Linked DNA regions of Elephas maximus indicus. The protein of the gene in region 1 purifies or fractionates together with the protein of each later gene. This does not show direct contact. Links are inferred from orthologs where the notes say so. Each region holds a gene or a part of one and is shown on either strand. Other genes may lie near its edges.

What was found.
Region 2: the proteins of TMEM192 (region 1) and LAMP2 purify together in Homo sapiens (affinity purification with western blotting; 5 studies listed by BioGRID and IntAct, with this or other methods). This does not show direct contact. The link is inferred for Elephas maximus indicus from reciprocal best matches to the Homo sapiens genes TMEM192 and LAMP2.

What each region holds. Positions count from the first base shown.
Region 1 is NC_064839.1:60,352,799-60,362,173, forward strand, and holds the start of TMEM192 (transmembrane protein 192), read right to left. Parts: upstream 3,754-9,375; 5' UTR 3,659-3,753; coding exon 3,632-3,658; intron 1-3,631.
Region 2 is NC_064846.1:36,113,974-36,123,805, reverse strand, and holds the start of LAMP2 (lysosome-associated membrane glycoprotein 2), read right to left. Parts: upstream 3,847-9,832; 5' UTR 3,819-3,846; coding exon 3,749-3,818; intron 1-3,748. UniProt on the Homo sapiens protein: Lysosomal membrane glycoprotein which plays an important role in lysosome biogenesis, lysosomal pH regulation and autophagy.

The DNA.
Region 1 (9,375 bases):
GAGGTCAGCTAGCTTTCCTGGGAACTTCAGATCTAGATCATACCCACAAAAGCAGGGACAGAAGCAGTAAGTACAAACTGAGGAAGATAGGTACCATGCGTTCCAAAGCATTCTGTGCTCACCTCCTCTGTCTCCGGGTGTCCTTGGGTGGTTTTCTTACTAGTGGGGTATCTGTCTTCCCAGCTAGAGCTCATTAGACCCACTAGCTACCCATCTCTTGCCTTCGTAATCCTAGCACCCAACAGTGTCTCATGATCAACACTCAGTGAACACTTGCTGAAAGAATGGATGTCCCAAACCTGTCCTTCCAATGTCCCCTAACTCGGTTACGGGCATCACCAAAGACTTGGGCTAAAATCTGAGAATCATCTCTGACCAGAGGCAGTAAGCACTGTAGTCCAGGGTCACGCCAAAGACAAAAAGCTGGTTCAAAGACAAGATCTACTGCTTACTAGCTGTGGGCAAGTTACTTTACCTCTCTGTACCTCAGTTTCCTCATATAACAAAGAGGAAGAATAATAGCACCTGCTTCACAGCTTTGCTGGGAAGATTCAATGAGTTAATCAGAACAGTACCGCGCGTTGTGAGAAGGCAAACTAATCAGAAAACTATCTAGGCATTGAATAGCAAGAGTTGCGGAGCAGCACCAAATACCTGAGACTGGAAATTGAGGGACCCACCCCAGATCTGGATCACACCCAGATTATTGCGTTTATCTTTGTAATCCTTACCTCTGCCACAGCCTGCAAACTCTACGGCAGTAAGCTGAGGCAATCGTAGAGCCCATCTGTTTGTTTCTGATCTCTGAGATCACTGACCTTCGTTAGCTGAAGTCCAACATCTTTACAACTTGATTCATACATTTTGTGTGTTCTTTGGTGGTTTCAGGCAGCAACCATCTTGGCCAGGGGTGGAAGTCCCTCTTCTACATCTCTAAAACAACTTCCAATACTAAGCATAAGTGTTTCTATTTTAAAACTCCTATAAAAAGTACCTCACCCAGACGCCGTCAAGTCAGTTCCAACTCATGGGGACCCTGTGTGTGTCAGGCTAGAAGAGGGTTCCACAGCATTTTCAAGGGCTGGTTTTTCTAGGCTAGATCACCAGGCCTTTCTTCTGAGAAGTCCCTGGGTGGACTCGAAGTGCCAACCTTCTGGTTAGCAGCCAAGTGTGTTGACCATTTGCACCACCCAGGCATCCTATAAAATTCACTGCCCCTATTATTCTTTTGGAATATTTCGTACGCTGTCTTGTATTGTTTTCTTTTTTCTGGGTACCTCTTTAGCTCTTCCTGACTACACTGAAGAGTATGAAGACCATAGTATGGTTTTCTCTCTGTCATTTATTAGATGTTCAGTAAAGAAAATGTATGTGCTGGACATATCAAATATACAGTTATATAGATCCTATAAGAAATATCTAGCATAACCATGGAAATGGCACTCAGTCATTCTCTGTAACTTATCACCTGCAAGTGAAAGCTGAGAGGAAGAGGACTCCTGAATGCAGAAGTATTCATCATGGCACTATTAATAACTACACTGTCACCTGCAGAAGACATCTGTTGTTTTTGCCCACATGGTATCTCTTCCCTCTTCTTTTATGACAAACTTCTATTTGCTTTGGGGACCTACCCATCTACCTCTGCATTGTCTCCCTGGGAACATTCTTCAATACCCTTCACTCTTCTCTGGCCTACATATGGTCATGGAACCAGAGAGGATTGTGCCAATTGAACTCCTGTGAGCAACAAAGCAAAGAGAGACCATGGCTGAGGAGGATTAATTTTAGGACCAAAAGACCAAACCCAACCTGTTGCCACTGAGTAGATTCCCAATCACAGTGAGCCGATAGGACAGAGCAGAACTGCCCCATAGAGTTTCCAAGGCTGTAATCTTTACGGAAGCAGACTGTCACATCTTTCTTCTGTGGAACAGCTGGCGTGTTCAAACTGCAAACCTTTCGGTTAGCAGCTGAGTGCTTAACCACTGTGCCACCAGGACTCCTTAATTTTAGGACAGAACCCTGAAAAAAAAACCTTTCGTCGCCTAGACCTCGTGACCTACCCTGGTTTAGGTCCTTTCAGAGGTCTAGTTGTTAATCTACCCTGTAATCTTTAACATGTATTCCTTTCTTCCTTAAACTAGCCAGAACTGGTCCCACTGCTTGCAAATAACAAACCATAATTAAAAGTCTTTGGCTCTTTTAACTCATTTATGTGTCTGGGCCTACTACATGGCTCAGAATTTTTAGGTTTTTACTGAATGCTAGAAATCACATCTATAAAATACGAAAGCAGTCAACTTGCTCAGATCTAAAGTTATTTAGCTACATAATTGTTGGTAAAATATTAATCTCCAATGGTTTGATGAAACAGATTTCTAGGGTTAGTTATTATAAAGTTAAAAGTTACAGATCCAAGAATTCTTGGACATCTTTGCACCAAGAAGCACTTACTGCCTCCTTTTTTCAAAAAACTCTCTCATTTTCCTCTTATTCATTTTTTCCATAAATTTTTAGCTCTTGAATCTCACCCTTAAATACTCAAATATATCGGATTTTAAAAATATACATCTGTGAATCTCAAATCTACTTCAAGGTCTTACAGTTAATTTTCCATTCTCTCAAGTGAAAAAAAAAAGACATTTTTAGTCTTACCGTTAGAAATTGTTCAGTTTTTATTTGCTCAAGATGATTTCGCTATAGTCAATATTTCACAAGAATATAAGGTCTTGCAGGCTGGAATCATGTTTTCTGCTTGTCTCATTCAGGGATGGGGTCACAGTAGTATTCCGATTAATTTATTAATCCAAAGTGCCTTAATGTAACCGTCATCTTTACATTTCTCAACGGCAAGTATTATTGTTACCGGCCAACGGGCACAAATACGTGCACCTCCTTAATAATATCTTAATACAGTTAAGCAAAGAAAAAAGATTTTTGCAATTGTGTACGACCCTGTATTATAAAAAACCACTGGGTTTTTCAGTTATCTGGTTTGGATTCTTCTAAGTAAGGAGATTTTTGTAATCTTTTTACTCCTACCATACCTAGATTCAAAATAGCACATGACACTGTTTTTCTCCAGTGTGGGCGTTCACAGTGACAGGTCTGCCCGCGGGGACGCTGGCGTCCGGCCCGCGCCTAGCAGCCGCTTCAGGTCCACAGTTTTCCGGAGCCCGGGCTGGGGACCAGGCAGGAAAGGGAGATTCGCCCCCTGCGCCTCCAGGAGCGTCTGAGGGCATCCGGGGGCCCAAAGACGCACCCCAAAGCAGGACTGTCAGGTCAGACGCCCTATCACGTGAAGCGCCCAGTTCCGGAATCACAGACGCGCGCGCACGTGGGCTGGGCACCGGCCTGGGGTCTCCAGGTTCCCGAACCCACCGCCCGGAAGCCAACCCCGGCGTCCACCCGGAGAAGCCGTGAGCGGCGCGGGCTGCGCACCCCTCGGGGTGGCCTGGCGGCTTCCCACCCAACGCAGCGCCCCAGCCTGGCCGCGGGCGCGGGCAGCACCCCTCCAGCCGTGACGCCCTGGTTGTGGTAGCTTCCCCCGCAGTCCCCGCCCCGCGCGCCCCAGCACAGGAGGAAGGGGATTCCCGGGGACGGCCGCTCGCCACTTTCGTGCACTCACGTCCTCCGTCCTGCCTGCCACCGCCATTTCCGGACGCCCGAGGCCGAAGCCCGGGCCCCGAGGGCCGCTCCACCTGCGCCGGGCGGAGGAAGGTCGCCGCTCTCAGGGACCTGTCGGCCCCGCCCCAGACACACCCCCTTTGCCCCGCCCCGTCTCCAGGGGCGTCCGGGCCCCACCTCCTCACTCCCTATTGGATGAGGGCGGGAGATGGGCGTGCCCGTCCCGCCCCGAAGGCCGGAGCTGTAGGCCGGAACCAACGCCCGGATGGCCTCGGTTCCTGGGGTTTCTGGCGACTTCCCCTCCTGTCGGCTGCTCGCCGGAGATCGGGGAGTTAAGGGCACTGAAGGATGCGTCCCTAGTTCAAGAATTTAACTCTTTTCAGCCGCCACTTGCCTCATTCTAAAAGGTTACATTTTTTGGTCTTAGTTTTTGTTTGCAAGCAGAGATCCATTCGTAGGTGGAACCAGCAGTAGAATCCCAGGAATCCCATTTACTTCCTGAAAGGCCGCCAGTAGGGAACTAGCAGAATAAAGATTCTACCTTCCATAACATATTTACGGGTTTCACCGATGGAAAATGAAGGAGTTCGGAATTTTTAGTGCTTTCGTTTATTTTTAAATGGAATTTTAAAAAAGGAAACTTTGGTATTTCTGATAATACACAATCGTTATAAAAATGTAAGCAAATAAGGAAAGTAATATTTTCCGTTAATACCACCTCCCCCACCCCAGAGATAACCCCCATGCCAGCTGGGGTATATACACTTGCATAGTTTTTAATACTTGTGTGTACATTATGTGTAGTGTGATCCTGTTTATGCCATTGTTGAAATAAACCCATTCAAATCTTAGCGAAGAAAAAGATGGAGTAATAAGACTCTGTGACCTTTAAAGTCTCATAATCCTGAGATTCTGTGAATTATTTCTGAAGAGCGTATTCTAGACACATATTTCCCATCAACATTTAATTTTGAAAAATTTCCGGCCAACAAATACTGAAAGACTAGTACAATGAACACCCATATACCCCTCACATTGATTTGCTAGTTGTGAACAGTATGCTGTATTTGCTGTGTGTGTGTGTTCACACACATTTTAACGGAACCATTATTTTATTTATTTGGAAGTTGAGGACATTATGAAGCTTTATTCCCAGATGAAGTTTTAGCATTATTGCATAAATTTTTGGATATTTTTCCTATGTATCACGATGTCATTATCATACCTAAGAAAATTAACAGCAATTTCATATTTATTAATAAACAATCCATGGTAAAATTTTCCAAATTTTTCCCAAAATGTCTTCTTTAGCTGCTTGTCTTTTCATTATTATGTCCACACATGCATTTTAATGGATATCGTGTACTGGTTAAAACCAGAGCTCTGGAGTTAGTCACAGAGATTTGAATTCTGTGTCTTTCTAAGGATGTGGACTTGGGCACTTTACGCTAAGACCCAGCTTCCTCATCTGTAAAACTGAAACAGTTAATAGTTCCAATTCATGGAAATTTTTGGTTGAATAATACCTGCAATGCTCTGAGCACAGTGTTTTCCCTGCTACCAACCAACCCACTGACCTATGAGTCCATTCTGACTCATAGTGACCCGATAGGGCAGAGTAGAACTGCTCCATAGAGTTTCCAAGGAGTGCCTGGTGGATTCCAACTGCTGACCTTTTGGTTAATAGCCATAGCACTTAACCACTATGCCACCAGGGTTTCTTCAGTGCTCAGCAAATACTGCTTTTTTAAATGAAGTTTGTTGAGGTATGGGTAGTCCTCAACCTATTCCAGTTCCGAGGAACCACGCTTAGGACCATCTGTTTTTTCGTTGTTGTTTGTACATCCTAACTTCAGGATGTACTACCTACAATGTTGCAGCACAAAACTTGTTGATGTTATCATTCTTAGATGTTCACTCGCAGAGGTTCAATGTTATGATTTATTGTTCAAAACACTGCCAGTAGAAGGCTATGGCAATAATGATGAAAACTAAAAAAAAAAAAAGTATTCGACTTACGTCAGAACCAGCTTCTGCAGAGTCGTTGGAACAGAACTCCATCGTAAGTCAAGCACTACTTGTATTATTAACAACTAGTCACTGTTTTAATAATACACTAAAAATATTACATTATTCAAATGGTTCAGCAAATTCTTTTTCCAGAGGTTAACATTTTTCAAAATAAAAATGGGGGTAAAGCTGATGGTGTCCTTGATAGGCTACATGACTTGCTTACAGTCAATGGTAGGAATAATCTGTGATCACCCAGTATAAACCAGAAGTGAGCTATGGTGTCAGGAAACAGAATTCTGAACTTTGCAAGGTTCAATAGGAGGGCAAAAAGCATTGACAATAATATAAAGATTTTGAAAGGGCTGGTGGGGTCAGTGAGGTTCAGGGTAGATCATATGCTTCAGTTTGACACCTTGGTTTCCAGGAAACAGGGTGAGTGAAAGAAAAGGATGCTTTCTGGAAAGACAAGGGAGACTCCAGAAAGAAGAAGGGGAACAGATTCACCCTCGTCTCACCACTTTGCTTGTTGTTGTTGCTAGGTGCCCGTTGAGTCGGCTGTGACTCACAGCAACCTCATGTATAACAGAATGAGATGTTGCCTGGCCCCGCACCGTCCTTACAATTGTTGTTATGTTTGAGACCATTGTTGCAGTTACTGTGTCAGTTCATCTCCTTGAGAGTCTTCCTCCTTTTTCCTGACCCTCTACTTTACCTAGCATGAAGTCCTTCTCCAGGGATTGGTCTTTCCTGATAATATGTCCAAAATAAGTGAGACAAAGTTTTGCCATCCTAGCTTCTAAGGAGAATTCTGGCTGTACTTCTTCCAAGACAGATTTGTTCATTCTTCTGGCAATCCACGTAAATTCAATATTCTTCACCAACTCCGTAATTGGTGTCTGTCAATTCTTCTTCAGTCTTCCTTTTTCATTGTCCAGCTTTCTCCATGTTTACCATAACAAGGTCAAAAGTTAGAATTAAAGGGATATAAAATTGCCAGCTAAAAGTCATTGATATTCATTCTCAAGGAACATAAGCAGAAATAACAGGTTAACTACAAGAATATGGTTCTGTGGAATTCTCAGAAATGTACCCCCTAAAGTGTGTTTTTGGATAGTGGGGCAGAAGGGAAGATCACTGCTTATGGAGTACTGAGTTTCAGTTTACAGTGATGGAAAAATTGCATTGATTAAGGGTAGGATAGCACAGCTGATTATTGTTTAATTGTTGTCAATAAGTTGTAAACCTGTAAAATGTTGAACTGTCAAAAGTTGTGTGATAGCTATAACAATGACAAAAAAAAAAAAAAAGAGTAGTTGCTGAGGCTGCTTATGTACAACCAAACACCTTATGCAATTTGATTTCTTGGTTTGGAGGTTTAGGGTTATGGTTTCGTGGAACATCTCAATTAATTGGCCTAATAACATGCTTAGTGCTTCTGCTCTACAGCCTAGTTTGTTGCATAGTGCCAGGGGCCTTAAAAGCTTGCAAGTGGTCATCCAGGACACAATGATTGATCTCCATTTGCCTGGAGCAACAGAGGAAGAAGGAAAGTTGGGAATAGAAGAAAAGGAATGTGTGGCTAATTGCCTCCGTGAACAACTGCCTCCTTTGCCATGAGACTAGAAGAACTGAATGGTGCCCAGCTACCATTACTGAAGATTTTAATCAAAGATTCTATAGAAGAATCCTGATCAAAAGGGGAAAAATGCAAAACGGAATTTCAAATTTTCATGGAATCCAGATTTCCTGGAGCCATAGACGCTGGATGAACCCCCAAAACTTTTACCCTAAGATAACCTTTAAACCTTAAACCAAAATTATCCCTTGAAGTCTTCTTAAAACCAAACAATGCACTTTGAAGATCTATCTATATGGGATCAAACTGACAACAACAATTGAAAGATTAGAAGGGAACCTTAGGGGGCAGTGAGTTTACATTAATGAGGAGGAACAACTCAGGAGGGTGAGAATGGTTGCACAACTTGAAGAATATACTCAGTGTCATTGAATTGCACATGTAGAAGCTCGAATTTGGTGCATGTTTTTTCTGGGCATATTCTCCACAACAACAACAACACATTTTTTTTACAAAGGTATTTTTGTAGAAATTCTGACACAGATGATATGTATCAGGAATTAAAACTTCAACCTCACTAGGAAATATTAAAATTATATGTCCATAATAATATTTTAGTGATTTTCAAAGCAATTTAGGTAAGCATAGCCCTGTAATGAAATTATATTTGTAAATGTTTGATATTTCTTTTTTGCATAATTAAAAGCTTTTCGGTCAAGATTCCTGAATCTTGTTTACATATGAAGAGTAAGGGATGAATTGGAGAACTTTTTTTTCTACCAAATGGTTCTCCATGAGATTTCAGTTTAAAGCTCTATCTTTCCTGCAAGTGCTGTTACCATCAACATTGTCCCAAGCACAGTGCTTAGTTCTGATCACAGATATTAAAATGCTAATAGTATCTCACTGATTTTTCCCAACATCAAAATGAAATATATCCTTAATTCACTGTAGTTTCCATTATCTAGCCTACCACACCTAGTATCATTTACTGTGCAAACAACAGTGCTTAATTCCTTATTTATTTTAAAGAGGGATTTCTTCTGCTACTCATTGATTTCAACTTGCCTTTTTAATCAAATTTTAGATTGACTTGAGCCTACAGTTCTCTGAAGCTTTACTGCAGCTTTGTCAAGAACGCACATATCCCAAATACTGGCTTTGGGTAATGCCAAGTCCGGTAGCCAAGTCTCTCTTAGACATCCAGAAAGATGGTATTGAGATTTTCCCTATCAGTGAACAGATAAAAAAAAGTTAAGGCAACAGTTATTTCAGTGTATCGAATTATTCTTGGTTCATGTACTTTTTCTAAGAAGGAAGAAATTTAAGAATATTGTGAACAATTAGAAATATTCCAAAGGTTCCATTTATTTCTTCCATAAATATCTATGTCTTTCAGATACAAAAAAATCCAGTTGTAACCAAGCATTTCAAATTTGAGCGAAAAAGGTCTATTAGAGGTCCTCAGGTCCCTATGACACTTTGGACTCATTATCCAACACCTCTTCATGTGTTATTGGCTTATATCCTCCAAAATTCTTGTGCTTTCAAATTCTGACATTTAAAAATATCTTGGTTTCACTGACTAATTCAAGAGTGGGAGAACAAATTATGGTAAAATTTCTAAAAATAAATATGTGAAATTTAAGACCAAAAACAAATTGTCTGTGAAAGTTCTTAAGAAACACGATATAGAAACTCAGGATGAAAATCAGTTTGTAACCTTTATGAAAATCAAGGCCACAATTTAGTTATCAAGGAGCTGATCTCACCCGACCTGTACTCACTCCTGATTCTACTCTAATGCTAAGTACCAGGCTCTGGATCCAGCCAAATCAACATACAGCATTTTCATGGGAGGATGTCTCTACTTCAGAAATAAATGGAAAATGGGGCATTAAGCTTTATGCAGTTATGTCTCTTCTAATTAAGTTCTAGACACTGGAGAAGTAACTTTTTTTTTTCTTTTAGAATAATATTCATAATTCTGTGTGCTGAGATCTAAAGTACATTTGAAAGCATTCCCAATAATGTATAAAATAATTATCTTGACTTTCCGATGTAAGAAAAGCTTGTAACTTCAGAATCTATAAACACAGCTACTCGGAGTGTTAAAGAATTCTTTAAGGAGGAGAAAAAACAGGAGGCAAAAGAAA
Region 2 (9,832 bases), on another chromosome or scaffold:
TACTCCTCCAAATTCTGTTCTGAACTTGGAGGTGGAAGGAATCAGTCTTACGAATATTCCAAGAGGCTAAATCTAGTTAGTCCCAATCAATAAATGGCAAACCAGTAGATGAGCTAGCTGATGGGTTCATCTATGCACATCTTTTTGCCTGTTTTTTTTTTTTCCTCCAATGATCTGGCACTGATTTTCTAAAACAAAACAAAAAAGCTTTCATCATTTTAATTATGTCACTGAATTGTACATGTAAAAAATGTTGAAATGGCAAATGCTTTGTCACACATATATTTACCACAATAATCAAAAAGGTTAATGGCATGAAAGCCAACAAATAAGACAACTTTTTTTTTTACTTTCCCTAAACAATAGCAGCCTTGTGTTTGTGCACAAATTGGCAGTGAACTACTGATTAACAGATGCCTTCGTCAAATGCGTTCTTGTCACTGATAAGGGGCTTTCTGTTGTAAACAATCCTTTCTTAGGGTCACTCAGGCCTCAGTAAGTGCTTCATGGTAGAGTTAAGACTTTGAATTAAGCATTCAAGCACAGCCTCCCTGGCCCTCCTGGAGACATGCTACAGAAGTTTCCTGCACTGTGTGGACAGCTGGATTAGATCAGGGACTCTTAAATGTTTTGGTGTCTGGACCCTTTTACACTCTTATCCAATGACGACCTCAAGGAGCTGTGGTTTGTGTGTTATATCTACCGATATTTACCACATCAGAGACTAAAACTGAGCAATTCATAAAACACAAGAACATCAGAGCCATCCGCGTGGTGATGTCACCACACATTAAATAGCCTCTGGAAAACTCCACCGTACACGGGTGAGAGTGAAAAAAATAACCTCTTAGTTTTGTTCTGAGAATAGTTTTGCTCTCACAGACCCCATAAAAAGATCTTTGAGAATCATGGGATTAGATAATCAAGAACCCTTCCAATGCTATGGTTCTAGGGCAGGGTTTCTCAACCTCAGCATTACCGCCATTTTGAGTGGGATAATTCTTTGTGTGGGGGGGGCGGGCTGGTCTGTGCATGTAGGATGTCTAGCAGCATTCCTAGCCTCTACCTACTAGATGCCAGAAGCCATCCCCACCCCAGTTATGACCACTCAAAACGCTTTGAGATATTGCCAACTATCCCCTGGTTGAGAAGCACTGTTGTAGGGTGTTGATTTGATCCTATAGAAATGTGAATTACAAATTGTATTCCTCTCACTGCCTTCTCAGACCCCTAATATGCCTGTTTCTTCCCCACTCCCATCTCAGTCTGTTCCTTCTGTTCTTTTATTATTTCACAGATAGCAAGAGCCAGTGGGTAGCAACAAGCATGGGATGATCCAGTCGGGAAGAGATATTCTGGTCAAAGTTCACTTTTCAGGCCTTAGAGCTATTAGGGCACCACTTAGAGGCACAGCACAATCAGCCAACATTCACCCAGTCATTCTTAGGACCTGGTAACAACTCAGTCCTTAGGAAGCTACCTATCCTCCCTCCCAAAAAACAAACAAACCAAAGTAATAGGCTACTTATGGGTTCAGGGAGAAGAAAAAAAGAGGCTCGGAAGGCAAGGAGGTAGTATACAAGATGCAAATATACCACCCGCAAAACCTCACATTTGGGAGATTCTCCCCAAGTGAAGCATCTGGGGGATTTCTTTGTCAGGGTCTGGCTGGGAGGAAGGAGCAAAAATGGTAGAAAAACAACATCCTCAATACATCCAAATCAGAAATTCACTCCCCACTTCCTCCTTTAGTCTCCCGAAGTTGGGTCCAAGTTTCTTGCCTCAAAATTGCCCCAACCACCTTAGGTTCCTTCATCCTCAAAACTCTACCTATATGTAACCAAACACCTCATGGGATTTGGTTCCTTGGATTAGAGGTTTAGGGTCATGGTTTCATGAAACATCCCAGCTAACTGGCCTAATAACATGATTAGTGCTTCTGTTCTACCTCCTAGTTCGTTGTGTAGTGCCTGGGGTCTTAAAAGCTTGCAAGTGCCATCCAAGGCACAACAATTGGTCTCCATTCACCTGGAGCAATAGAGGAAGTAGGAGAGTCAAGAATAGGAAAAGGATATGGGATATGTGGCTAATTGCCTACATGAACCACTGCCTCCTTTGCCAGGAGATCAGAAGAACTGGATGATGCCCGGATACCATTACTGAATATTTTGATCAAAGATTCTATAGCAGGATCCCGATCAAAAGGGGGGAAAATACAGAACAGAATTCCAAATTCTCATGGACTCCAGACTTTCTGGAGCAATGGAAGTTGGATGAGCCCCTGAAACTATTGCCCTGAGATAATCTTTAAAGCTTAAACCCAAAATACCCCCTGAAGTCTTAAAACCAAACAACAGTTTAGCTTAACTAGTAAAAAAAAAAAAAAAGGCCTGCCTTGAGCAATATGCTCTTTTAAGAACTATCTATACAGGATCAAAGTGACAACAGCAACTCAAAAGATTAGACAGGAACCTTGGGGGCGGTGAGTTCACCTTAATGAAGGAAGAACAACTCAGAAAAGGAGGGTGAGAATGGTTGCACAACTTGAAGAATGCAATCAATGTCACTAAATTATACATGCAGAAACTGTTGAATTGGTATATGTTTAGTAAGTATATTCTCAATAACAACAACAAAATAAAATTTAGAAAAAAATAACGACAACAAGAAAAAACAAATGAGAAAAGTTTCATATAATGCTGGGGAACAGTTTCTAGAATATAGATTTTTAACTAAAAAAGCGAAGTGCAGAATTGTGCACATAGTTTGCTATTATTTCTTTTTTTAAAAAAAACTATTCTACCTATGCAGGAGCCCTGGTGGTGAAGTGGTTAAGAGCTCAACTCCACGGCAATGGGTTTCATTTGGGTTTTTGGTTATACATATGCATAAAATATCTCTGAAGTAATAACAAGCAGCTAGTAACAATGGTTGCCTCTGGGTTGCTGGAGGACCGACAGGGAAGGGAGACTTAATTTTCCTGTATATCTTTTTATAACTTTTATATTTTTCCTACTAAATTTTCACCTCCTGATAATTTTGTACAATGTTATGAATTAGCTGTTCAAAGGCAAATTTAAAAAATTTAAAAAATGTGATACTACAAAAAAAAAAAACGCTCTGATTACCAAACTTAAACCCAGCATCATTCCTCAGCTCCTTCCTTCATGGCCTCAAATTCCTACCTACAAATACCATTCCACTCCCCTCCCTACTCCTGAGACTGAATCCTCAGATCTGTCCCCTACCTAAGCTTTTCCCCCAAACTTCTCCATGCAGGCTCAGTCTCTTCCCTCTGCAATTTTCTCACCCACTCCATAGTTTCGCTACCATCTCCCAAACTCGCCCCTGCTCCTGGGAAACCAGGATTTTCCTCTCCAAATTGTCTCTACCACCCCTTAATCTGCAGGAACCGCCCTCCTACGCGCACTCCTCAGTATCCTTCCAAGTTATTCTTTCTACCCCGACCTCCTCCCCTCCTCACTCTTCTCTACCCACTCCCTCGGCGTCCACCAGCCCCCCCTTATTGCCCCATCCTACTCTCCTGGGCCCATCTTCCCCACCACCCCTCGGTCAGGCCTACTCTAGGTTACTGTTCGCCTCCCCGGGCCTGCCGCCGCCGCTCAGTGTCAGCTCGTCAGCCCCTCCAACCCCGCCCCGCCGACCAGTCTTTCAAGTTTGTAGCCTTTGAAGTGACGCCCCGCCGGGCCTAGGCTGGGAGCCTAAGCCGGCGGGCCTGACAACTCACCCAGGACGACGCAAAGCAGAACCAGCCCCAAGCCCGGAACCGGGGAGAGGCGGAGGCCTCGGTACATCATGATACCGCAAACCAAGAGGCGGCGGCGGCGGCGGCGGCGACAAGAGCAGCAACACCAAGGAAGCTGCTCGTTGGGACTTGGGTAACAGCTCCGGTGACCACTGACCACGACGCTGCCAGAGCCAGGAATCAGCGCTTAAGCGCGAGTCATAAGACTCAGGGCAGGGCTCTTTCTTGCCTTCAGCCAATCCCCGCTCTAGAAAGCGTCGAGAAGGGGCGGTGGGGTAGGGCCGGGGGGCGGGGCGATGAAGCCCTGGCTTTTTGGTTCACAACCATTCTTAAGTTCATAAGAGATGTGCGCGGACGGCCTTTTTTAAAACCATAGCGAGAGGATAAACTTTTTTTTTTGCAGGAGGGGGCGGGGTGTAGATAGTAGAGATTATTTCAGTTATGGCTCCTTGAGAAAGAAGAGAATGATTTTGCTGGGATAAAAACGGTGGCCAGGCATCTCAACGTAATACATATGAGTTGGAATCGACTGGACGGCAGTGGGTTTTTGGTTGTATTGAGCACGCACTTAGTACCTATGCAGATCATGCTATTAATGGACAAGTAAGCTAGAGGGTAGTAATGAGTCCCTGACCACCAAAGCAGGACATGACCTTTAAATTCATCTACTTGCAACATCCTTGTGTTTCAGTTGGGAGAACTGAACCCAAAAAGAGGAAGAGCCTTTTTTAAATACAGGAAAAAAAAAATAAAGAAAAAGAAAATAGAAGGATAAAGGGGAAAAAATTAAGATCTTCCATAATCCCACTACCTGGAGAGAAACACTGTTAACATCCTGAGAAATATATATACATACATATGTATAGAAACCCTGGTGGCCTAGTGGTTAAGAGCTACGGCTGCTAACCATAAAGGTTGGCAGTTCAAATCCACCAGGCGCTTCTTAGAAACCGTACGGGGCAGTTCTACTCTGTCCTATAAGGTCGATAAAGTCGCTATCAGTCAGAATCGACTCAATGGCAACCGGTTTGGTTTTTTGGTTTATACACACATATATATATATATCTCAAAATACATGTATATACACATGTAAATTTTTAATGAGACCATACTGAACTCACTGTTTGATATACTTGACAGGTAAACGGATGAAACCTAAAGTCTTCAACAAATGAAAGCATCCGAAAACCTCAAGCTGGAATAAAGTACTGATTCTCAAATGTTATTTTCCAAAAGAATCACCTGGGGCTTTTTAAAGACACACAGGTTCCTTGGCATCATCCCCCAGAGATCCTGAAACAGTAGGTATGTAGTAGTCCTAGGGATCTCTTTTTAAACAAGCACACCAAGTGGTTCTCATTCCTATCACCCATAGACCACACTTTGAGAAACACTGAAATACAGCTTCAAAACCATCTTGTCCTGGGGATTTTAATTGCCTCTGTGAATGGACTTGGGAGGAGGGTCTTTGACTTCCCAGAAGTTGCATGCAACATTTATGTACGTTTATTTTTATGGGGGAGGTTTCTAGCTTTCATGAGTTCTCAGATGGGACCTGTAACTCTCTACCTCCCCCACACTCAAATATTAAGAATCACTAATGTACCCTTTTGGAGCCCTGGTGCCACAGTGGTTAAGAGCTCAACCTCTGACCAGTTCCAATCCATCGAATGCTCCTTGGAAACCCTATGAGGCAGTTCTACTCTGTCCTATAGGGTTTCTATGAGTCGAATCGCCTCGATGGCAATGTTTTTTTGTTTTTGATCTACCCTCACTATAGTTTGTTTTAATATAATTAATTCCTGAAAGTGAGAACACTTGGCAATGTATGTCTTCTGTCATAGAAGAAACTGAGTCATGAGTAAATGACTTGCCCAATACAGGACTAATATTCACTACAACTTTAGGCACTGCCTTTAGCAAAAGGTCCTTTAATGCCTCACCATTAATAAGAAGTGACATTTTGAGATGGTAATTGTTACGGATCGAATTGTTTCCCCAAAAAAGATAGGTTGAAGTTCTAACCCCTGTTCCTATGAATGTGGCCTTGTTTGTGTTGTTAGGTCCCATTGAGTTGAATCTGACTTACAGCGACCCTATGTAGGACACAATGAAATACTGCCAGGTCCAGTGGCATCCTCACAATCGTTACTATGTTTGAGCCCACTGTTGCAGCAACTGTGTCCATCCTTCTTGTTGAGGGTCTTCTTTTTCCCTGACCCTCTACTTTACCAAGCATGATGTCCTTCTCCCGGGACATGTCCAAAGTACATGAGGCAAAGTCTTGCCATCCTTGCTTCTAAGGAGCATTCTCACTCTACTTCTTCCAACACAGATTTGTTCATTCTTCTGGAAGTCCGTGGTTTATTTAAGATGCTTCACCAACACCATAATTCAAATGCATTAATTCTTCTTTTTTGTGTTTTTTTTTTGTTGTTGTTGTTGTTATCCAGCTTTTGCATGCATATGAGGCAATTGAAAATACCGTGGCTTGAGCCAGGTGCACCTTAGTCCTTGTTTATAAATAGGGTTATCCTTTTGTTATCAATTAATAAAGTCATACCACAGTAGGGTGGGTCCTATCCCCTTCTGAATGATGTCTTAATACAAGGGGAAAACAGACATGGAGACAGGGAGAAGACACCATGTGAAGATACATCAGCAAACAGCAAAGGAATGCTAAGGATTGCCAGCAACCATTAGAACCTAGAGAGAGGCATGGAACAGTCACTCTCTCAGAACCCTCAGGAGGAATCAACACAATCAATACCTGGACTTCTAGCCCTCAGAACTGTAAGACAATGGATCCCTGTTCTTAAACCCTTTCAAGACCCATAGGACAAATTTTATCCCACCTACTTTTTAGGTCTCTGGAGTTCTTTGGAAAGGGGATAGCCCAATTTTAACGCCTTTATCCTTAAGGTGGGAGCCTTTTGAAATGCGTGAAACTCAAAAATCCCGAGTGGAAGCCTCGTTTTTGTGTAGATTGAGCATTGTGTTAGGGTGATGCCTTTCAATTGTGTGAATTTTCTAAACTTTTGACAGGTTTGCCTTTATTTCTGTGAGATAAGCCTCCTCTTCACTATGTTTCCCACTTGCTATGTTCTCATGAGAATGTACTTATTGCGACAATAAGCTGTTGCCAGTCTTCATCCATAGTGGCCATTTCTCCTTCATGCCATTCATTGTTTCCAGGTGTTACTGGCTTCCATCTTTTCTAGCTTCTGAACAGTAAATAATGCCTTTCCAATAAGGAATAATGCGTTGAAGTGGTACTTTTTAAGAGATTGGAACTCCTGTAAATTATTCCTACTCTGCATTCAGTCTTAGGGTCCAGTCATTGCTTCCACATGTAGCAGGTGGCATGCACCACTGTGAGCAGTTCTGCAGTATTCCAGGGCAGCTGTTTCTGCTTCTTAGCTGTTAGTACTGCTTTTGTATTAATGAGAATACACAGTAGTAGTAATTTTCCTGAGATTCAAATTCTGTTAGTTTTATTTATTTGGCCTATTAATACTTCTTTTGCAGTAATGAAGAAAGCATTGCAGTGGTAATTTTCTTGATATAAAAAGTCCCTTGGCTTTATTTATTTGGGCTGTAAGTACTGCTTTTGCAGTAAAGAAGAATGCATTGTACCATGTTTTGAAAAATGTTTCATGAAAAATAATAAAAAGGCTAAGAAGATGGAGACTAGAATAAAATGTATGTGCAGTCATTACCAGGTCCCTTCATGTTTTACCTCATGTTTTGCAAATTTTCAAGAAAAAAAATTAAAAAAACAAATTTTATCACTCTCTTAATTTTCTAAGATTAAATCTTATGCAACATTTTGTAATAGAGGCAGATCTACACATTGGTCTGGGGTTGGTGTTTGAGGAACTCCTTGACATCCCTCTCTCAAGTCTGTTGTTGATACTGCTGGGTCCAGAGGGCATTTATATGCACTTTCTCTCTTGACCAGAGCTCATACCTCTCCAGTGGGCAGAACTCCTTAATCTTCACCTCACACTCCACCACTATAGGTAGTTTATGACTCTTCTGAGCAGCTTTGAGATTTCATAAGTCTTTGGCCAAACAGCAGGGGGATCACTACTAAAAAAAACTAAACAGGTCCCAAAATGCTAACACATTGAATGGTTTACGAAATAATGACCCTATCAAAGTCGATGAATGATAGACAATGAACTGTGGGGGCTGGGGAAGGAAATGGACTTGAAGGTATAGAGATTTAAAATGGGAAAATAACCAATGCTTATTGAATAAATGAAAGAGTGTCCCTGAAGTATTGGTATCATCTGCTTGCCACCATATGATCTGTATTTTCATTTTGTCGTTGTTGTTGAGAATATACAAAGCAAAACATACACCAATTTGACGGTTTCTACATGTACTATTTAGTGACACTGACTGCATTCTTCAAGTTGTGCAACCATTCTCACCCTCTATTTCTGAGTTGTTCCTCCCATCAACATAAACTCACTGCCCCCTAAGGTTCCTATCTAATCTTTCAAGTTGCTGTTGTCAATTTGATCCCATGTAGATAGTTCTTAAAAGAACATAATGCTCAAGGCAGACCTTTTTACTAGTTAAGCTAAGCTATTGTTTGGTTTTAAGAAGACTTCAGGGGATGTTTTAAAGATTTAAGGTTTAAAGATTATTGATCTGTATTGTTTTATTTGCATTCTCTCTCCCCTTGTTTTCCTCCCTCCCCATCCTCCTTTTAGTTTTTCCTACACTTCATCTCTTTCTTTTCCTCCTGTAGCATTTCCTTCTTTTCTGGATAATGCCTCTAAACTGTGAAAGCATGGACAGTGTAAGGTCATTGCTCAACCCCACGGAGAGGTCACTTGAAAAACCCCTTTGCCGTCAAGTCAATTCCAACTCATAGTGACCATGCAGGACAAGGTAGAACTGCTCCTATAGGGTTTCCAAGGCTGTAATCTTTACTAAGCAGACTGCCACATCTTTCTTCCAAGGAAGAGCTGGTGGGTTTCAACTGCCAACCTTTCAGTTAGCAGTGGAGTGCTTAACCATTGCTCCACCAGGGTTTCTTCAGAGAGGTAATAGTGGGCTCAAAAGGCTGCTAACCCTTGAGCTAGAGATATCTGGGTGAGTGGAGACATGTCATTTTGAGTTGTTAGCTTTCCCCAGCAGAGTTGTTCTCATTCCCCCACTCTGCGATTTAATTTTCTGCTTAAACAAAATGGCTGTCAAACTTGAGCATGCATCAGAATCGCTTGTAGGAATTATTAAAACACAGATTGCTAAAACATCATGCTGAGCGAAATAAGTCGGTCACAAAAGGACAAATGTATGATCTCAATTATATGAAATAGTAAATATAGAGAAAAAAATATAGAGAAAGCAAAGATTATTAACGGTTACTAATTATCAGTGGTTAGAGTTTTTGCTTAGCAGGTGTCGAGTTTATGTTAAAGGTGGTAGAATGACTTGGAAAAGGATAGTGAGAATGGGTATACAACTTGAAGAATGTAATCAGTGTCACTGAATTGTTGTTGTTAGGTGCTGTCGAGTTGGTTCTGACTCAAAGCGACCCTATGTACTGCAGAACAAAACACTGCTTGGTCCTGCACCATCCTCACAATCATTATGCTTGAGCCAATTGTTGCAGCCACCGTGTCAATCCATCTCATTGACAGTCTTCCTCTCTTTCGTTGACCCTCTACTTTACCAAGCATGATGTTCTTTTCCAGGGATTGGTCCCTCCTGATAACATGTCCAAAATATGTGAGATTAAGTCTGGCCATCCTTGCCTCTAAGGAGCATTCTGGCTGTACTTCTTCCAAAACAGATTTGTTCATTCTTTTGGCAATCCATAGTATATTCGAATATTCTTCACCAACACCATAATTCAAAGGCATCAATTCTTCTTTGGTCTTCCTTATTCATTGTCCAGCTTTCGCATGCATATGAGGCAATTGAAAACACCATGGCTTGGGTCAGGCAGCACCTTAAAGTGACATCTTTGCTTTTTAACACTTTAAGGACGTCTTTTGCAGCAAAAGACGCCCGATGCAATGCGTCTTTTGATTTCTTGATTGCTGC